Arabidopsis thaliana: one gene and its partners. The protein of the gene in region 2 interacts with the protein of the main gene of each other region in a pairwise test. Each region holds a gene or a part of one and is shown on either strand. Other genes may lie near its edges.

Region 1 (5,229 bases), on a different chromosome or scaffold from region 2:
TTTGAATGCATATTAAATTATTAATTATGAAGACAGATAAATCAATATATGTTTGTTGATCTTGCTGTAGTACATTCTGGACTAATTCTTTCAATTGGAGTGACTAAAAAGGACAAAATTTATGCATAACGACGTCATACTATATGTAACTCGATTTGTCTAGAATATTTAGATAAGGTTAAGACTAGTTTTCTATGAATAGAAGAAAGTGTAAAATATATAAATAAACATACTAATAACAATTAACAACAGAACCAGAACCAGAAAATTCACATTTCTGTGCTTTTATTATCTAAAATTCACTTCGAAAAACATGAGAAAAAAGAGTTGGCTGACGTGGAATATTCGTCTAATAGTAGCCGACCAACGTAGCCAAAACGATAAGGTTTGCCACATGGCAAAACGATAACCATGGAACTGCATCTCCTGTCTTTTGTTTGGTTGTCACAATTTGTCATTTTTATTGGGATTTATTGTTTTGTTATATTTTCGTTTTCAGTCTAATTGTCAGCAATTTTCGCAAAAGATATGAAATTTTGGATATGAAGAGAAAATGCAAATGATTGGTGGGGACAACAAACGTGGCATTATGTGAGTGGTTGAGCGAACAAACGGCTATATGCTGAGATGGATTGGACGGTGACGATACGTTTGTCGGAGGGATCGGGTCGGTTAGTCACGCGCGCCACCCATTCACGTGTCACCTTTTGCCAACACAGACCATATGATTTTAACCTCAGTGGAATCTCGACCCACCCCACAAAACGGCACCATAACTTTACACCCTGGTTTTAGAGAGTGATATACCAACACAACAATTATGAAAAAGGGTTCGTTTAGGCTTTGGTTACTTTATGTTAGTAATATCAACTTAAATGCTAATTTGAGTTATGTGTGATAAGATATACGACGAATCAATTTACTTATCGTCAATTAAGTTTGAAATGAAAGTTTGTGAACGAAATAGTTTATGCTTCTTTAATATTGTGTCATAATTTTGAGTTCCGGCTCTAACATCTTCAAGTAGGGTTTTGTTTTATGACACCTCAAACATACTTAATAACATATGTTGGTGATAGAAAACTAGACCTTCTAGACTACAAAAATGTTTATAATGTAAGAGAATGACCATATATCTATCTATTTTGAAAACAAAGTGTTTTGACTTTGGTGAACAAGAAAAATGTTCTCTATATATACAATGAGACACTCGAATATAACCATGCATGATTAGTTGGATTTGGAGTGAAGAAACTTAGCCATGCTTCGTTGGAGCAAAATAAGGTTTTGGAGTTTTGTTATGTGTTTTCAAGAATGTAAATGCTGATTCGATAAAAAAAAAAAGTGGACGTAAGTTATTTTAAAATGATTTGGCATACAAAAACTGTGGCTTTTTAAATCTGAAAAATCGACAGGCTATGATATTATACGACAAAAAGAAGAGAGCACCATATTGATGATATAGTATATTGGGTCGGTCCTAAAGAAAATGACATTTAGGTGATGGGGGCGGCGAGGCTAAGTTAAAGTAAACAAAAAAAACCTCCATTATTTACCAGAAAAACATATAAAAATTTGATTGACATAAAAACTAATAAATTATTTCAAAGTTGTGGTTCTGATAGCTCTCCACCATCACCACTGATTGATACTTCCTATTGCTACGAGAGATAAAACTATGCAAGTTTATATGAGTGGATATAAAGTCTTGTTTTATGATATCATAAGCTAGCTAATCCCATATCATTATCATGTATTTATAGACGCATGTTCAATAGATTTGGATCAATCTTTTTGTCATGGACTTGGTGCAAACTATAACGTTAAATAGAATAAACTATTCTAATTTAGGATCTAAAATAAACTCGAATCAAATTTTAAAGAAATTTACTGGCTAACTTATTTGAATTTTTCAAATTTCAACGATTGAAAAACTCTAAGTCTGAAATTAAACTAGGGTTCTTGTCTTTACGTATTAGTAACTATGTATGATATTGATATATCAAGCAATCATTAAATAGAATTGGTTCAAAATTTATTTCAGGACAGCTAGTTCATAATCATTTTGTCAAAGCTACTTCCCTCATAATAATAATAATCATAACTCACTCGTATACTTTTATATCCAATTTTTTCATTGAAAATACAAACTTTCATTCCAAAAAAAAACCTCAATACACAAAAAACCAAAAAAACATATAACGTTGGCAAAAATACTAAAAATATTTTTTAAAAGATAAAGCAATAAAAAAGTATACAAACAAATTAACAAGAAGGAGAGCTCTCACTATAAAACAGAGCACATGTTCTTCTCACTAACCACTCCAACAGAGAAGCAAAAGAAAAAAAAGCTATTGTTTGAAAGAAGAAGAAGTTAACTATGGCAAAGGATGTGGAAGCCGTTCCCGGAGAAGGATTTCAGACAAGAGACTATCAAGATCCGCCACCAGCTCCGTTTATTGATGGAGCGGAGCTAAAGAAGTGGTCTTTCTACAGAGCAGTTATCGCAGAGTTCGTAGCCACTCTCCTCTTCTTATACATCACCGTTTTGACAGTCATCGGTTACAAGATTCAGTCCGATACTGATGCCGGTGGCGTAGATTGCGGCGGAGTTGGAATCCTCGGTATCGCTTGGGCCTTTGGTGGTATGATCTTCATCCTCGTCTACTGCACCGCCGGTATCTCTGGTATGATCCTTCTTTAATCTTGATTTTGGTTTGGTTTAGATTAAGATTATACACTTTTTGAGTATTAGAATTACAATTAAACCGAATAAGCTGAATAAGTTTTACTTATGTAAGTACAACTTGCAAACTCAAAATTTAGACAAGTAAAAATTATATGGTATGGTTTTGGTTTGTTTATTCGAAATTAATTATTTTGCAAGGAAAAATATTGCTTGGTTGACATTACTATTTAATCGGTTTAAAATCTTAGGTTTAAAAGACGAAAATGATTTGTTTATAAAACATTTAATAAGGGTCATGATCAAATCGGTTCTTATCCGAATGATATATATCTAATCTAAGCCTAGTAATTATTTTAAGCAACTGACTAACCCTGTCTTAACCAGAATTGAAACCGGTTAATTAATTGCTTGTTGTACCTTAATTCTCAAGTACTGGTAACATTGTCAACTCTTTTTGTTTCCTTAGGTGGTCACATTAACCCAGCGGTGACATTTGGGCTATTCTTGGCACGTAAAGTGTCGTTACCTAGGGCCCTATTGTACATAATCGCTCAGTGTTTGGGTGCGATTTGTGGAGTTGGTTTTGTCAAAGCCTTCCAAAGCTCTTACTACACCCGTTACGGAGGTGGAGCCAACTCTCTAGCCGATGGCTACAGCACAGGGACCGGTCTAGCCGCAGAGATCATTGGTACTTTCGTTCTTGTCTACACCGTCTTCTCTGCCACTGACCCCAAACGTAGTGCCAGAGACTCCCACGTTCCGGTGAGTCACATATGTAGTGCTATTAATCTTCAATATGGTTAACCGACTCAAAACCGGAACCAAAGCAAACCAAACCAACATTTGATTTCAATCATACTAATAAATTTGAATTTTGATGAAATAAAAGGTGTTGGCGCCACTTCCAATCGGATTTGCCGTGTTCATGGTACATTTGGCTACCATTCCCATTACCGGAACCGGAATTAACCCGGCAAGGAGTTTCGGAGCTGCCGTAATCTACAACAAGAGCAAGCCATGGGATGACCACGTAAGACCTCAACGTTTCTCCATTACATTCAACTATATTTTTCATTTTTACAAGGGAATAATGTTTTGAAATTTTGGTGATTACAAACAGTGGATATTTTGGGTTGGACCATTCATTGGAGCTGCGATAGCTGCATTCTACCACCAATTCGTTCTGAGAGCTTCAGGTTCTAAGTCTCTTGGATCATTCAGAAGTGCTGCCAACGTCTAAACACATCAAACCAGATTTCTCAAGAATAAATGAAGTTGTGATCTCTCTGTACAAATCTAAATCAGTCACTTGCAGTTTTCATTTCCCTTTCTTATATTTGTGTTTTCCACTTGCTCTTTTGTGAATTTTCCTTCGGTGTAATTGTTTTTTCTTTCGCTTTTAAACGAGTGATTGGAATTATAATCAATGAAATCAAAGAGGTTCTTATGCGTTGTGTTTACATTAATACTAGTACTAAAGTTAGTTTCCTTAGAGAATAACAACACCATGGGGCCATGTTCTTGGTCTTGTTTACGTCCTCCTCAAGATGCTCAGTGAATAAGCAGGATTTTGGAGAAACACATGTCTCTGCTTTAACGCAATCATTATCTTTCTAGAAAAGACCATTCCTTTATGTCTTCATACATCTCAGGCGGATAAAGCCTAGCGTGCACCAGCAGTAAGTTTTAGTTACTCTCTGAAACCGCCATTGTCCATTAACCCCATATGCCTCAAAGGCTCACAGAAACTGTTACATTCAAGATTCAACATACTTAGTCGTTTGTTACTTGACAATTATGAATCATATAGGAAATGCTCGAACTTGGCTGAGGATTGAGAGTCTTACCCTTCAGAATCTGCATTTTTTATGAGAACGTGAAGAGGTGTGGCCGCTCAAAATTGGCCTCTTGGTGGCCTAGCCTCAGCCTCTGAGACTGCCTACCATCCAAATCCTTTAATTACGAAAGTAAAACATGTGTTAGATGTTTGATCATTTACTGTAAGAAGTACTAATCGAATAAATTGTTATGCGAAGAAGAGAAATGATGATACTACTGCACCATTCAAAGAATTGATGGAGTTTTGAACCTCTCGGGAAGAGCTGAGTGTCACAAACCCAGTAGATCAGATTTGATATCGAGAAAGTTTCTAAAGGGACCTCATACAGTAGTAAGAAAATGACGAATGTAGTGATACAATAGGCTGGGATGCTTACGAACGATTTATGTTGTTTACTCTGGAGATGCTTGGCGGACAATTCAAAGATTTGGCAAACAACATCGCATAATGTACAAGAAAAGGCATATTCACCCCATCTAATACACGTCTCCCGAAGCTTCCTCTGTTCATTAACCGTAGACGAGACCTTCCTGAACCCGTTGCATCTGTGTGGGAAACAAAAAGAAGAAGGAGAAAAACTTGTTGTGCTGGTAAATTATTTCACCTGTGAGTGAGAGGACAAAACACACCTTCTCGTAAGTCTTCTGGCCAGAGCCACCGTGCTGGAAATTTTGGAGGAAATGGACATGCCTGAAAAGTT
Region 2 (5,197 bases):
TGTCTGTTTTTAGGAGCTTTTTCATATTATCTGAACAAATCCGTCGGTTTGGTTAGGATGACGTGGCAAAGCCACGTAGATATTTGGGTGGGGACTTAGAAAAAATGGTGATTACGTTATCCGTATGCACGTGAGATATGGGGAAGCCACGGACGTATGTGCCACTGTGACAGCTTCTTCTTTCACGACCCATCATCTCTAACTCTTAAAGCTTAGCTTTTCCTAACCAATTATTGTATGCCACATGTCGTAGCTAACTCCGGACCAAACAAAAACTACAATTATCCGACTTGGTTAGTTCGTTAATTGGTTTTATTATTTTTCACATGAACTAAAACACATAAATAGTACTTGAATGTGTTAATTCTTATAATTTTACATTTTTAAGAATTTTATTAATGACTAATGTGATGTTTTCTTTTCTATCAAGATTATATTAAAAGCTAATGTTACAAAACAAGAAATATTAGAGTCATGAGACTATATTTGAATATAAAAAATATCAGTGTAAAACGACATTTACTAAGAAACAAAGGAAAAAGTACACTAAACCGAATTTAACCGATTTACCATTGATTCCAGTTTTTGTCAGTTAGTAAAAAGCAATACTGATTATACATACAATAGTTTTAGTTTTGTCTTAGATTAGTGAGATATATATTTATGTTTCTCAAGAGATAGAGAAAGCATAACGATTAAAACCAAACAAAAGTTTAGTTAGATTTTTAGATTGGATTCAATAGGATTAGTTAAAATCAAAATGGTTTGGTTTACCTTATATATTATACACGCCTAATAAAGAGTGACAGAAAGAGTGAAAGAAAGAAAGAAACAAAATTCCGATAAAATGAGAAAGGTCACAGATACAAACACCAGATGTTAGCAGAGAGATCCCTTCCCATGCCCATGTTGATGTACAAAACTCTGGTTTTTCGCAAAAGATGGAACAGATTTGACATTCCAGATTCCGATTAGCGCCTGACTTGAATTCAATCGAAGATAATGAGTTATCATCATATCACAATAAGAGCAAGAAGAAAGATGTGGAGGACTTCATAAGTTACCTATTTGTCAAGTTTTTTTGGTGTGCACTTCAATCATATCATGATCCTCCATGCCAAGTTCAGAAGGAGTGGTTGATGGATCAATCTTATCACCGTCAAAAATAAATACAAGATTTTGCGGGTCAAGCTTAGCTTTATCTGTATACAGTTTGATAACCCTCTCAAATTTCTCGTCCTACAAGAAAATGGTAAATACCAAATCAACATTCTCATATTTTACAAGCTTTAACAGAATATGCATATCTATTAATGAGCGGCTCATTGTATGACAGAGAGCAAGCAATATGTATTCTGTGTGTAAATGCTATGTGGTGATGATACATTGATAAGAACATGAACTCGTTCTCTAGTTTATTAGATGAACTCAAAGAATAGTTTAAAGATCCATCAACTAATACACGTCTCAAATACTCGACCCCATTCAATGATTTCTTTAATCCCTGTATTTATACTCTTGCTTTCCTAGAAAGCTCGAAATATCTAGCTATCTAGATAGTAGCGAAGGTGACATAACAACTAATTCTTATCTCTACTAAATATCTAGTATCTAGCTAGAAAAAGTTTGGATAGTAAGCTTATTGTCGATGGAAGGTTGGATAGTAAGTGGCAAGCAGTGAAAAAACTTACCGCAAACACCCGGAGTGTCTTCTGTCCATCTTTGTCCTGTATTGTAATAACAATCTTGGCCCTGTCATTCGTAGGCTCTGATGGTAACTGAGCAGCAGTCTCTGAAGATGGATTGCGAGATTCTTCAACTTCCCTTTTAGCAGACTCCTCAACTTCCTGCATCACATCTCCTACAGTTTTTGTAAATGACATGAGCTCCATCTTCTTCGACCTACGTTACATATTTCATTTATAATCAAATTGTAACACTGGGACTCTTTCCGGATAGCAAATAACACTACCATAGCCTCTAACAGCAACATGGGAAGCTTAGAGATGAGAAATACTCAAAGACATACAAAAGTTACCTCAATGCTTTAATAGTTGAATCTTCAACAGAGTCTTTACTTTTGTCGAAGATAACCTTTGGTGGAGGAAGCAACCAATCGTCATCACCCGTAACTTCAATCACTTTCACATCATCATCTAACTTCTCAACCTATATAAAAAGATTCAAGTTCCAAAAGGAATGATGATAGATTCAACCTATGAATTGTGAAGTACATAATCGAATTGTTCCTTCACTGACATTGATTCAAAACTCTTTACAAGCCCACAATACCAAAAGTATCTATCAAGTTAACACAAAGAGCTCAATGAGACAACAACCAATCAATAAAAATCAATTCTTACTGTTTGTGAAGTTTTCGCTTTCTTCGGAATTGGCGTCACCGAGGCATCATCATCATCATCTACAAAAATTCAAGCGATAATAAAGGATTCATCTTTATCACTGTCGAGTGTCGAGCTCAGTGACCAAATCAAATAATCGAAACTCACCATCGATACAAACGAAATTCGCTGGCTGAACACGACGATAATCAAAAAGTGGCTCTAGATCTTCTCCTTCACCTCCCTGATCATCAATCAGTAATACAAATTCAGAAAAACTCAGGCATCAACACAATCCCACAACAGACAAAATTAGGGTTTTAAAAATTGGGGTATTGGGAATTCATAAAATTCTCACCATTGTTAGCGAATTTGGATCTTCTTCGTCTGTTTTATCAGAAACCCTAGATGAATTTGGACAGATTTTGAATTTGAATATTATTTTGCTGTGATTTTTGAAAAGACAAAAGTGATTTTGAATTTTGATGAAGAGAGGCATCGGCGATTAAGAAGCACCTCTTGGGTTTATTATTTGTTTGTTGGGCCTGTTTAGTGGGCCGAGTTTTCATTGGTTATCACACTTTTTTTTCAGATTGGTTTAATTGGGTTGGGTGACCATCATAGTTGATTGCGTATTTGTCATTTGAGATCTGTTGTACTTTAGTAGAATTTTGTTGGTATTTTTGAATGCATGACAATAAAAGATGGTACAACAAGACTCATCCTAAGTCTTTAGTAGAGAAGTCCATGGGAAGCTCTACATGAAGGTTATAGTAAACCAAACCGAGAAGGCACAAACTCGGCTTTACAAAATCAGGCCAAAAATAAGATAACCGGCAAATAAAAAGGGTTGGTGAGGCTATTCAAACCATACCTAAGTAAATTGTGTTCGATGATCACGAGAGAGAAAGAAACAAAGAAAGGGAGACAAAGCGTTTTCAGAGACTATGAGAGATCATGGAACCCTAGCTAGTAGAGTAGAGGACTAACCTTATTACCAAGATTTTTTATTTACATGTTGTTACAACTTACAAATGAATAAAAGATAATTAATGCAAATATAGTCTTGTTAATGCCAAAGTTTTGTTTCATGAAATAAACACGCTTCTAGCCTTTCATGATCACCCTCTTTGTCTCTTTATGTAGTTTTTTTTTGTCGTTTCTTATTGATGTGTGTTTCTTCTCCTCTCTCTCATAAGTCATAATACACTTAATATGTAGTCAATAATATTCCTAGTTTCATACATTCTTGTTTGCAATTCTTTAATTTTTTTTTGTCAAGAGTTTGTTATTCTTATATCTGCGAAATTGTATATATTTTTAAGAGTTAAATATCATAGTCAAAACCCGTATAAGCATAATAGAAAAGCCATGAAAGCTATATCGGGAGGTGGAATCTTACCTATGAGATTATGTACCCAATCAATCATCATTCGGAGAGGCCACAAAGAACAAACCCGAGTCCGAAACCGATTTGATCGATCATTGTCGATGTTGTAAGACCCTCCTTCGTCTACGTTACTCTCGGAAACACCTAAGTTAACCTCAAAACGACAAATGGGACAAGTGTTGTGAATGTTCAACCAAGACACAATGCAGCTTGAATGGTACAAATGCAAGCATTTCAATTCTTTTCCTTCCTCTCCAACTTCAAATTCCTCCTTGCATATCGCACAAACCTTCTCTTTCACCAAATCTTCATCCGTGATTATCACCGTCCTTACAGCCTCGATGGCGGATTGCGAGGCTGGTGGTGGACCGATTTGTACACTAGGCATGACATCAGCGAATTCCTCGTCAGTATTATAAACTAGATCATCATGATTGAACCGGTTACTTCTTGGTTCGTTGATAAGATGGAGAGTGATCCAATCGGTATCACTATCCCAATAAGGTCGGCTTGGCCTCATAATGTCAAGCTCATCGTGAAGATTGATCTCTCTAGAACAGAAAGGACATATGGGACCATATAGACCAAAGCTTCTTAGCCTAATGGTACGGCTACAATGGCGACAATAGAAGTAATGGAACGTTCTTGTTCTTCTTGTTCCATTCACAATAACTCTTGGACGATAAGCAGATGTCATGTTTTCAATCTTTTTATTTTTTCGTCGGTAGGATCTTTATATATGCATTTATAATTAAATACGTGTACATGTTTTCAAGAAGAGGCAAGACAAAGCCTATACGAGTGAATGAGTTATTCTTTTCTGTGTTTAGGTTGGTGTCGTATGGTCTCTGCTATGTCAACTTGCGAATCTTTTAGTGATTTGTCTTGTAGGAATCAGAGATTCAAAAGGATGCTTGGAGAATCAATTACGATAAAGGGTTTTAGGTTTGGAGGAGAGTTATTTGAGCGGCCCATTATGGGCCCATTCCAACTTACTAGTTCATGTACATATTGTATGACTCAGAAGTGAAATTAATTAGACCCAAATAAGATTTTACAATTTATTATTGCTCGTTAAAAAAAATCCATGCAACATCTTATGAAGTTGTGGATGTGGTAGTACAAAGGTCATATGCACATAATAACTTACATAGATGGTTCAATAAATCATCGTTAGATAGAATAATAATGTTAATATTCACTTAATCAAATATACTAACAACAAGTCGTTCAACATATATAAATGATGGTTGATCAAGGGACATTTGTACTTAATGTTGGGAGATTGTTGACTGTGATATCTTTGCTAGTCTTATTTGTTTCATTATGATCCGATGTCGTAAGCATACTCTTCATTTCCTTGTTTTTAGCCCATAGCACAATGTATAATGCTCCAACGATAATCACTGTACCAATTATGCTGTAATGTTTTCAAGTAAAAATAAACCATATTATATATACATAC
Region 3 (7,143 bases), about 16 Mb from region 2:
CCATATACTTCGGCTATATCTTCGTTTTCTCAGCTACTAACTCTGCGTTTACAACACCCGAACCTGCAGCTATTGAAGTACTAGAGAAGGTGACCAAACAGAGAGATGGTGCTCCTTTCTTGTGGCGTTTGCTGGTAAGTCATTTATATGACCAGACAAGACAAGTTGATTCATATACGTCTACAGTTTATGAAACGTTGACTTTCTTTTGGCAGGAAGAGAGTTACTCAATGGAAGGCAAGGAAAAAGCTGGTATAAGTGCAGGTAAGAAAGCAAAAGCATTGGAATCTTCATATTTCAAGTCTGCTTGATCGCCAAAACGGCATTTGTCTTGTTGTTTTATAATAAGTCAATGGTTATGGTCAATGCATAAGAATAATAATAATTTTGTTAATATAATTGAAATTTACATTCTATTGACTTTGTATTAGTATTTTATAAAGATGTTTATGAGAAAAAAACTACTAGAAGACCATTAAAATGGATCTTGAAAGCTGTATGTTACAGTTAGATATGTTGTTCAATTGCGACATGGAAACATGTCTAAGGATTAGGGGACGCCCATTTCTGCATTTTTTATATGATTTTTAACATGCAACTTTTTTTTATCTTAATAAAGATATTTTATATTTTAATAATAAAATGACTTAAATCTTAGTCCTATACACGAGATTATTTCAATAACATTCAAAGAAAAATTGAATACCACATTATTGATCTCCAAAATGTCAAGTGACTGTATCGCAAATTCTATATAAATTTTTTCAAAAAGGCTGATAAAATTAATTATTTTTTTCGAACATATATCTTATAATTTACACCAAGCTTCCAACATTAATTTCGTAATTTAATATCTAAAAACTTGTAACTTTTTTTTTTTTAATACTAAGAGGTTCTGAACCGAAACCCGTAAGCTCTCCAGACCCGAAACCACATCCACATCATGTAAATTACATGCATCAGTGTATCACTTAAACAAGAAGTCGTGAAACTTCCATGAATTTATAAGGTTGATCTTATAGTGATTTTCTCATACCATATAAAATACACCAATGACCAGACGTCTAATATGTTTCTGAAATTCACTATAAACAAATTAGTGTTAAGACTTGTAGTTACATGCGTCACCTAAAAACATTGAAATTTCATGAGTTCTCCGGAAAACAAACCAATATATTTATTTGGTGTGGAAGGTACAAATTAAGACCGAGTCTCTCAAAGCCCTACGTCGGCCACATAAGCCAACCAATGGATATAAAAAAATTAAAAACTCAACTATGACATGTTGCCAAAAAATCTGATATCAATACTTTTCGGCTTATCCAGAAAGATAGGAGTCACACGTATATAACAAGGCAATGTGTTGTGTGTATCTAGATCTATTTATATGCAACTGTTTAGAAAATGTACTAATCCTAAATTATTCTACACAAATATTCACAAGTCTACTTCATGACTTTCTTGGTTCTATCTACGGAAAAGAGACAATTCTACACAATAAGCCCACGCGCTCTACATTACCTCTTCATAAATACATTCTTTTCACAACATTTAATATGAAGTTTTATTGTAGTATTCTGATTTCTTCTATGATTATATAATTATTCCATTCAATTATGGAGCTACATATAACATAATTTAACTAGCTGAACTGATCTTTCATCAATATTACATGATCGTCATGGTTTTCATGAATCTATGAGTTTACATTTCCCTCATTAATTTAAATTCTCAAATTTACATTGATAAGATTTGAATTATGGTGCGGATTTATCGACGATAAGGTCCATAGACTCATTACTAGAGGGATCAAAAGACACTTATCAGTTATCACGCACACAGGACTGTAATCACATCCATAAAACCTTATACTATAACCGGATACCGGTTTAAACAAAGAACCAACATTGAACCACAACCTAAGACATTTTCTATCAAAGTCTTCACATCACGTTCTTTACGCGCGTGAGGTAAAATGTTCAACAAGTTACGTAGGTGGAGGAGAACCTTCGTAATACTTTTTCATTAGTCTTTTCTTCATTTGATTTTGCGAAATTTCTAAATAATTGCGAGCTGCATAATCCCTCCGACTATTAACTTACAAAGTACCCTTTTAGCCAGGCTTTTTCTGTCTTATTTTTTTGTCATTAAACTATATAACCAAACACAAACATCATCTTTCTCCTTCATTTCACAAACTTAAAATTCTCTGTTTTTGTTTCTTCTTCTTTCAAAATCTCAAGCAAAAGAAAAAATGGAGCTATTCACAAAAGGTAACAACGTTAAGTTACGTAGCCACCTAGATAAGTTTTTAGTCGCCGACGATGACCAAGAAACCATCCGTCAAAGCCGTAAAGGAGATGCACGGCGTGCCGTTTGGACGGTGGAGCCCGTCGTCGATAAACCTAATCTGATAAGGTTAAAGAGCAGCCACGGCACGTACTTAACGGCGAGCAACAAACCGTTATTGTTAGGTATGACCGGTGAGAAAGTGACTCAAACGGCGTCGTTTAACAAGCTGATGGATTGGCAAACGCAGTGGGAACCGGAGCGAGATGGGTTTCAGGTGAAGCTAAAATCTTGGTGCGGTAAGTGGATGAGGGCTAACGGTGGAACGCCGCCGTGGAGAAACTCTGTTACTCACGATGAGCCTCATACGTCAAAGACAAAGAACTGGTTGATTTGGGATGTTATAACTATTGATGGTTCTGATCTTGAAAACATGTCTGATGGTGATGAAAGCTCTGTTTCTTCTCCGGTCGGGTCTGAATTCGGATCAGAACCCGGGTCACCTGTTTCTGCCAGGTCTACGAAGAGTAGTATTAGCCGGTTTGCTTCTCTTGGTTTATCTACGTCTCCGAGATGGTCCTCAAAACCGGTAAGTTTGACTAAGTCTTTTATTCAGTGTGCATTGATTAGTTTTTCTTAATTTCTGTGTTTAAATTAAGGCTAATATAGAAATTTATTATTGTGAGTTGAACTTAGACAATTCTGTATATAAGAAATTAGTTGGCATGCATGAACATATGGAAAAAAAGATGAGGATTACCCGTATTAGTATCTACAATTTAAAGAAAATTACATGATCTGTATCATTTCTTTTCTCCACTAACATAGATAATGCTCCACAAGCACACACATCGTTTTACCAACCTAATACCACCAAAATGTATAGGATTTTTTAATTGTATAGTTTTGATTAGTTTATCTATTATAATAGACTATAGTTGAAAATATGACACTTAACAATCCAACTTAAGTTTACTTCAATGATTGAAGGATAGTTTTGAAATGCTTGTAGTAGAACCTCTAAAATGTAACTAAGTGACTGTATATTTCTTACAAAAGCTATACCTAAGGATGATTAAAGAAGAAAAATACGATTATTATTCCTTAACAATAAAAACTTGTACCTAATGGCTTAAGATAAACAAATCTAGTGCCAGTTAACATAAGACAAGTGTAACAAAAAGTAAGGTAAAAAAGTTGGTAGTTATGATTTAGTGATGGAGCATATGGTCCAGGGATGCAATTAGGAGAGTCCCACACTCATGAATTTCCTCTCTTGGTCTTTCTTGCGGGCAAGGGTTTATAGATTTATTTTCTAAATATTCGCTTAAATCCTATCTTTTCGATCCATTCTTTTATGGCATAGGGACACTATTATTTTTGGGGAAAAGGGCATATACTTTTATCTTTTTAATTATTTATTTATATTTTTCAATATTTTCCATTTAATATTGATTTGCTTATACCACATAATTGCTTATAATCTAACTGAAAATCACATATTATTCATCAAGAATTACGTCCATTAGTTCCGATTTTGATCTTATCATAGAACTAAATACGTACTGAAAAATTAAAAGATAATGGAAAAAGTATAGAGTAACAATGTAAAATGATACTTTATTGGGAAATTTGGTTACCTATCTCTATCGTAATTTATTCTCTTCATATAGATTATTATATACATAGCAAATAAAAGTTTACCAAATGTATGTACCATACCTTTTATTATTATTTCAAATGAATCTTCAATAGTCAACATTGACTCCTAGTATTATGTTTAAATCTTCTATGAATTGAAGAATCTGAAATAAACATCATGAATGATTGGAAGATATGTAAGAGAAAATTGTTCCAACTGATAAAAGTTTTCACAAAGTCATTGTAGTAATTAATAGATATATAGAAAAATAAAACACAATTTAAGGCCAATTTTTTTCATCTTCTCCTATAAGATTTAACACCAAATTTTTTAAAGAAAAATTCAAAGCATTGATTTTTTTATATATAATCAAATACAAACTTTAGTTACAATCTAAATCCTGCTTTGTTTCTTGAAAATCTGTTTAAATTAACAATAGTTGGTGTCTTGGAATCCTCGTAATTAACTTTAATCTCAAGATTTACAAACATTACAAAGTAACAAAATCCAAAACACGTGAAACAACAACGCGTTACAAGCTCTAACAAATACTAATAAGGAAAGAAATCCAAATCATAAATTTCTGCTGACGTGGATATTAGATACGCGCTCTAATCCAGCTAGCAACGACTTTTCCAGATTTCTTACCTTACCTAGTCCGCGTAACCGTAAAAAACTAAAAAACCCAATTTAGACCAGTCCAGTGTCAGATCCACCACACATATAAAATAACCATATCTCTCACTTCTTCTTCTTCTTCTTCTTATCACTATTCGCTCATTTCCCCTTCTCTGTTGTTACAGAAGTCGACGGCGAGTAGCTTCAACCAAAAAGAAACACCAGTATCTGTCTCAGCAATGGAATTTTTCCAGAAAGCAAAAGCTATTCGAATGCGTAACAGTCACAACAAGTATCTAACAGCAGACGACGATGAAGAAACCGTAACTCAAAACCGTAACGGATCTACCAAAAACGCTCGATGGACCGTCGAACCGGTTCGTGATTCTTTCCATGTTATTCGTCTTAAAAGCTGTTACGGTAAGTACTTAACCGCTTCTAACGAGCGGTTCTTGCTCGGGGCTACGGGGAAGAAAGTGATTCAGTTGAAACTGAGTCGGGTTGATTCGTCTGTTGAGTGGGAACCGCTTAGAGAAGGGTCTAAGATTAAGCTTAGGACTAGATCTGGTAACTATTTACGAGGTAATGGTGGTCTTCCTCCTTGGAGAAACTCGGTCACACACGACGTTCCTCATTTGTCTGCTACTCAGGATTCGATTTCTTGGGATGTTGATGTTGTTGAGATCTTGACTGATTCCGAATTCAAGACGGAGTCTGCGAAAGCGCCGCCACCGAAGACGACGTCTCCACCGCCGCATCGGAGACCGACGAGTTCGCCGTTGTCGGCTGAGTCTCCAAGGACTTCGTCTTCTCTTTCAGACAGATCCGATTCAGATGTGAGTACTTTTCCTAAATTCCTAAAACACCTTTGGTTTTGTTTAAAATTACAGTTGTACCGTTTTCCGGTTATTGAAAATTTTGATTTTGATTTTGACCAGTCGGTTGAGTCTCCGCCTAAATCTGATGGACGAACCATATATTACCATGTCGCTGACGAGGAAGGACACGTGGAAGATGAAACAACCGTTGGATATGCTTTCACGTTTAAAGGAAATAGCGTGGCGGAGCTGACTCAGACATTGCGAGAAGAAACGTGCATGGAAGACGCTGTGGTGTGTACTCGTAGTCCTTTAAACGGCAAGCTGTTTCCTCTTCGTTTGCAACTTCCTCCTAACAACGGAACATTGCATGTCATTTTACTACCCTCCAGCGCGAGCCTCTAGAATCGACCCGAGACAATTAGAAATGAGTGATTGTGTGATTGTTTGGTGAAGCATATGATATGAACCGTATAAGAAGATAGTAAGAGTTGGTAGTTGGTACAAGACTCGTTGTTACATAGATTGAAAAAAGGCGTCGGCACATGAACCTTGCTTAATCTATAGACTATTTGTAAGAGTTTTGATAATAGGAAGGACTTATAAATTATTTTTTGGGGGAATATAATACAAGTTTGTTTTTGTAAATAAGCGATTTCTTTGTAAACGAACATTTGGATTTTGGGGGTTTATTTGTGTGAGCATGGATTCATAAACAAAAATCATTAATTTCTTATAAGTTATTCACTAGTAAATGGAGATTATGACTCGAATGTAGCCAAATTTAGTTTGGATGACGTGAACAACCAAATCAGAATAATCACCTATCTTAATATAGTGATTTAGTGACCAGTAGACGATAGTTGTGACAAGAAATCTTATAAATACTTTGTTGTCACAATTCACGAATGTTAAAGGGGTTAGAAGTTGAAACTATCTCCAAGTTAAAGTATCCATTAAGCTATCGTTAAACATAAAATACAAATCATGAAGCATACGAAGACCTTAATATCAAGTCATATACAGAATGAATATACAAAAAGAGGAATAATTCCTAATGTATACGTACGATACTACGTTGACGAAAAAAAAAAAAAAAACGTACGATACTACGATTGGAGTTTTCTAATTACTTACAGAATATTTAAACAACATTATGTATCTAGAAGGATCTAGAATAAAATTGAATCTAAAGTACACCAAAAAAGTGGAATATTTCCCAATATCCTAACAACTTTGATAATATCTTAATTTCAAACTGTTTTTATTATGTAACAATACCGTATTTCATTTCTTAACTTAAAACTCATTATTTACATGATATTTCAAAAATTACCTATGTACTTGTCATTATATACATGGTATTTCAAAAATTACCTATTTACATATTACCCTTTTAAATGGTATATTTACTAATAAAATTAAGTATTGCATTTAGGAAAAGAGAGTGCCTCTTGATACAATTTTAAAATAATACAAATACCCTATGTCATTCCAAGTAACTAATAATAAATTGACAAATAATTTTTTTATACAAGAAACGTAATCCACAAAAATAATTTGAAAAAATCTACACAAAATAGTTGAAAATAGAACACTCCTATTTATTTATTTTTTTCCTTTTGTTTTGAGACGGATAATTTCACTTGCATTACTGGAATTTTTCATCAATTATTATATATTTAGCTCAAAACTATCACTACCCAAAAACCAGACGCTTCAACTTATCCCCATTTCTCTGAAAACCCTAACAAATCCTCCTCTTGTTCCGCCACT
Region 4 (3,743 bases), on a different chromosome or scaffold from region 2:
AGTGTTTGATTTCGTTTTAGATCTGGTTTTAGGTTGTTTTATTAGAAGAAATCTGGAGAATAAATCATGTTTAGAAGTTATTCCTCTCCCTTAAACACGATTTTTTTGTTCGTTTTAGATCTGGATTTAGGTTTTTGAAATGAATAGTTTTTGGAAACTTTTATAACGCTTAAAAAACTATTTTAAGTGGATGATTGTGCCTTTTCTTAAATACGATTACTGTTTACTTATGTGGTTTTGTTTCTTTTTTAAATCGTTAAACAGTGCGAAATCGGAAGGTTCGGGAGTGACTTTTCTTCTCGGAACTAAGGATGCTGAAGCCGCCGTTGCGAAAGCTGTTGACGCCGGAGCTGTGAAAGTGGAGGTTACGGAGGCAGAAGTTGAACTGGGATTCAAAGGAAAAGTTACGGATCCTTTTGGTGTCACTTGGATCTTCGCGGAGAAGAAGACCGTGATCACCGACGAGAACAAAGAGGTTTAGAATCTGTCGTCGGATCTAATTCTTCGTCGGTTTCTGAACAAAAAAAACTATCTATTATCCTAGGTTTATGCTTTTATTTTGTCTTTTGTGGAATCCGGTAATCAGTAAACCGGATCGAGTAGGCTAATGACTTTCGGATTCTAATTTCACCCCTTTTGACAAACTCTAATCTTGGTGAAATTGCATATTAATCTCGGGCTATATTATGTTTTGTTGATGATTTCGCTTCTCTATCTATCTTCTATAATCGTTCTGTGTTTAATCTGTGTTCTTTGTCATTTTTGTTGGTTTAGTACTAAGGGTATAATCGTCTATTTGGAATGAAAATGAAATGGTTAGTGATTAGATAAGACGGAATTAAGAATATTTGTTGTTTTGGTGTCAGAGTGTTGAATACTGTGTCAGAGGTAGTGAAACCATAAACCTCTGTATTTGTGCTTTGTGGTTTCTCTCTATCGCTTATTGGTTACATATTTTTCGAAATTGCCCTTCCGTGTTTGGGCCTTGTGTAGTTTTCGATTGGTCCTCTTTCTTTTCTTTTGACCAGTTTTTGGGGTTAACCCATAAACGCCATTTGGCAGAAAATACGATTTATTAATAACATCCGATATTTAGAATAGGAGTAATAAAAAACATAAACACACGTATACAGAGTCTTTTAACAAGTTGGGGCGTTGGCTAGACCACACTGTTTGGGGAGAGCAGAAGCGAGTTCAGGATCAACACCGAAAGAACCGAGCCATGGAGAGTTCTTGTAACCACAAAGACATGCAAAATCAGCGTGTTGCAGAGCGGTGCAGCAAGGCTGTGATGGGCTCGTCGGATTCTCCTTGCTAACCGCTGGTTTGCACTCATTCAACTCATCCTGGCTCATGCCGCAGAGATCTATCGCTACTGATGTATCGACCAACATAGCCATTATCACGATCATCGCCATCATAACCATAGCTGCTTTCTTGCTCGCCATATTATTATCCTCCTCTCTCTTTTTCTATATGTTTGTTTGTGTTTGTGGTGTTGAAATGAATGTGCATGAGAAGGTGTATATATATCAAGTTTTAGAGAAACCCGTGAACCAGATTGGATTGCTCCATATAGTCACGGGGATGTGTTTTTCCACTTTACTTTTGGGAGAGGGTCTTTTGTCATAGAATCATAAGCTTTCGGATTCTTATCAATTATCAAGTATCGATTACACAATTTCCAGTCCACAAATCTTTTACTACAAATGGAAAAAGAAAATTCAACTTGCACATTGTATTTGTATATAAAATTCTCTTTTAATCGAAAAAAAACACATTAATAAACATCCGCAAAATACTGGGCCTGATATGAGCCCAAGTAAGAGTACTCTAAGAAGTTTCACAAATTACGAAAATAAAACAGTTAGCGAGTATTACTGTTAAGTGTCAACAACAGTTAGCTACTTTAACCACAAAACAAATGAGAACATCAGTTAGTATATAAACGGGACAAAATATAGAACGAAGAATAAATCCAAATCTCTAGATTCTCAATTTTTTTGCTGTTCTATTTTCAAATAAATGTTTTATTTTCTTTGAGAATTTCAGTCCTATTAGTGTAATTAGTGATAAACTCATAAGCATGGCACATACGAGATGATTATTTGGTCTACGAAATGGTTTAGTGGATTTAATATATGTATTTTTATAGTTGATACTTTTTCACCATCTAATCGTTTTTCAACTACAATTACTGTTTTTACCGGCGATCACTGTTTTACCGAAACCTAAAAAGTAAAAACTGTATAGTGGCAATCATTATTTTACCTAATTCACAATTATCTTCTTTTTGTTAAAGAGATTTTAGGAAAAGCAAATTAGGCCTTGGCCAACGAAGGTTAGAAATAGAAAGACTATAACAAATGACCAATTTTAAAGGTATATGAGCCAATGGAAAAGAATAGAAAAAGGAGGAGTTCATTCTTCATAGTCAAAACCATCAAAATTTCATTTGCAATTAGATTGAGATCTATTGTTCATGATGAATTTGATGCAACAACAGCATTTTCATGACTTTGTTTTCTCTATTTTCATACTATTTTTTGGTGAACTTTTTGTGACGTTTTTATGATAAGTATTTTTGATTTTATAGGTTTAGATCATTGATATTATTTTGTGAAGTGTGAACCATAGCTATGCGATAATCTCGGTATGAATCTAAGCGAATCCATTAAAATATCCTTATATTTAATTAGAATATTCCATTAAACATGGTAAATAATAAACAAACAAAGGAAAACACCATAATGCTTAACAAGTTGGGGCGTTGGTTAGGTCACACTCTTTAGGGAGACTAGAAGCGAGCTTGGGATCTACACCAAAAGAACCGAGCCACGGAGAGTTTTTGTAGCCACAAAGACAAGTGTAGTCAGCATGTTTCAGAGCGTTACAACAAAGTAACGATGGGCTCGTCGGGTTATTCTTGCTCACCGCTGGTAAGCATTCATTCAACTCTGCCTGAGTCATGCCACAAAGGTCAATCGCCACTGACCTCTCAACGACTAAACTAGCCATCACCATTACAATCACCATAATTGCCACCTTCTTGCTTGTCATTTTATCCTCTTTATTTTTTATATATTTGTTGTGTTTGTGGTGTTAAAATGAATGTGCATGCAATGGTGTATTTATTATTAAGTTTTGGAGCAAACCCGTGAACTAGATTGGATTTTCTTTCTTCACTTTTGGGATAGGGTATTGGTCACTTGGATTCTTATTATTGCTGCTCTTTTTTGTTTTTTTTTGGTATTTATCAATTATCCACAATCTCCAGCCCACAAATCTTTTACTACAAAATGGAAGAAGAAAATTCCAGAGTAATACAACTGGCACATTGTGTAAATTTTCTTGATATTGATAAACATATGTTGCTTCTTACAAATATTTGTGGATTAATGGCAAGTAATTTGTATGCCACTATAACCAAGAAAAAAATACAACAGTTATTTGTATGTCACTTGCTGATTATTTGTCACTTTTTTTTTCCGGTTAAAATTTAATTTAAATTTATAACATAATATTATATTTACTTTTAAAAACTAATTTAAAATAAAATATATCTCTATAAATAGTAAACAATCAAACAGAAAATTAATAAAACTAGTCATGAATTATTGTTTTTGTCTAAATCTTATTATCCGTACTTGCGAGTATCTAAATTACGTTATTTGTTATTTACTTGATAACGATGAATCTTGTCTAAGGCGGATACAAAACCAAGTAATGGATGCAGGGCAACA

The links.
Region 1: the proteins of AT1G68185 (region 2) and PIP2A interact in a two-hybrid assay, tested with the Arabidopsis thaliana proteins (one study listed by BioGRID).
Region 3: the proteins of AT1G68185 (region 2) and AT1G27100 interact in a two-hybrid assay, tested with the Arabidopsis thaliana proteins (one study listed by BioGRID).
Region 4: the proteins of AT1G68185 (region 2) and DIR1 interact in a two-hybrid assay, tested with the Arabidopsis thaliana proteins (one study listed by BioGRID).

What each region holds. Positions count from the first base shown.
Region 1 is NC_003074.8:19,802,606-19,807,834, reverse strand, and holds PIP2A (plasma membrane intrinsic protein 2A), read left to right. Parts: upstream 1-2,104; 5' UTR 2,105-2,380; coding exon 2,381-2,687; intron 2,688-3,155; coding exon 3,156-3,451; intron 3,452-3,578; coding exon 3,579-3,719; intron 3,720-3,809; coding exon 3,810-3,929; 3' UTR 3,930-4,362; downstream 4,363-5,229. UniProt on the Arabidopsis thaliana protein: Water channel required to facilitate the transport of water across cell membrane. Probably involved in root water uptake. Its function is impaired by Hg(2+).
Region 2 is NC_003070.9:25,554,048-25,559,244, reverse strand, and holds AT1G68185 (Ubiquitin-like superfamily protein), read right to left. Parts: upstream 2,863-5,197; 5' UTR 2,842-2,862; coding exon 2,701-2,841; intron 2,587-2,700; coding exon 2,511-2,586; intron 2,423-2,510; coding exon 2,364-2,422; intron 2,170-2,363; coding exon 2,039-2,169; intron 1,903-2,038; coding exon 1,692-1,902; intron 1,240-1,691; coding exon 1,072-1,239; 3' UTR 1,065-1,071; exon of another isoform or gene 979-1,064; 3' UTR 712-978; downstream 1-711. Other genes in the region: BBX27 (B-box zinc finger family protein), read right to left, coding at 1-25; AT1G68180 (RING/U-box superfamily protein), read right to left, coding at 3,620-3,642, 3,745-4,429; UMAMIT23 (nodulin MtN21 /EamA-like transporter family protein), read right to left, coding at 4,987-5,152.
Region 3 is NC_003070.9:9,406,186-9,413,328, reverse strand, and holds AT1G27100 (Actin cross-linking protein), read left to right. Parts: upstream 1-1,960; 5' UTR 1,961-2,254; coding exon 2,255-2,878; intron 2,879-4,734; coding exon 4,735-5,385; intron 5,386-5,487; coding exon 5,488-5,772; 3' UTR 5,773-6,244; downstream 6,245-7,143. Other genes in the region: AT1G27110 (Tetratricopeptide repeat (TPR)-like superfamily protein), read left to right, coding at 70-134, 216-311.
Region 4 is NC_003076.8:19,645,178-19,648,920, forward strand, and holds DIR1 (Bifunctional inhibitor/lipid-transfer protein/seed storage 2S albumin superfamily protein), read right to left. Parts: upstream 1,664-3,743; 5' UTR 1,449-1,663; coding exon 1,140-1,448; 3' UTR 851-1,139; downstream 1-850. Other genes in the region: AT5G48480 (Lactoylglutathione lyase / glyoxalase I family protein), read left to right, coding at 265-481; AT5G48490 (Bifunctional inhibitor/lipid-transfer protein/seed storage 2S albumin superfamily protein), read right to left, coding at 2,755-3,060. UniProt on the Arabidopsis thaliana protein: Putative lipid transfer protein required for systemic acquired resistance (SAR) long distance signaling. May interact with a lipid-derived molecule to promote long distance signaling associated with SAR.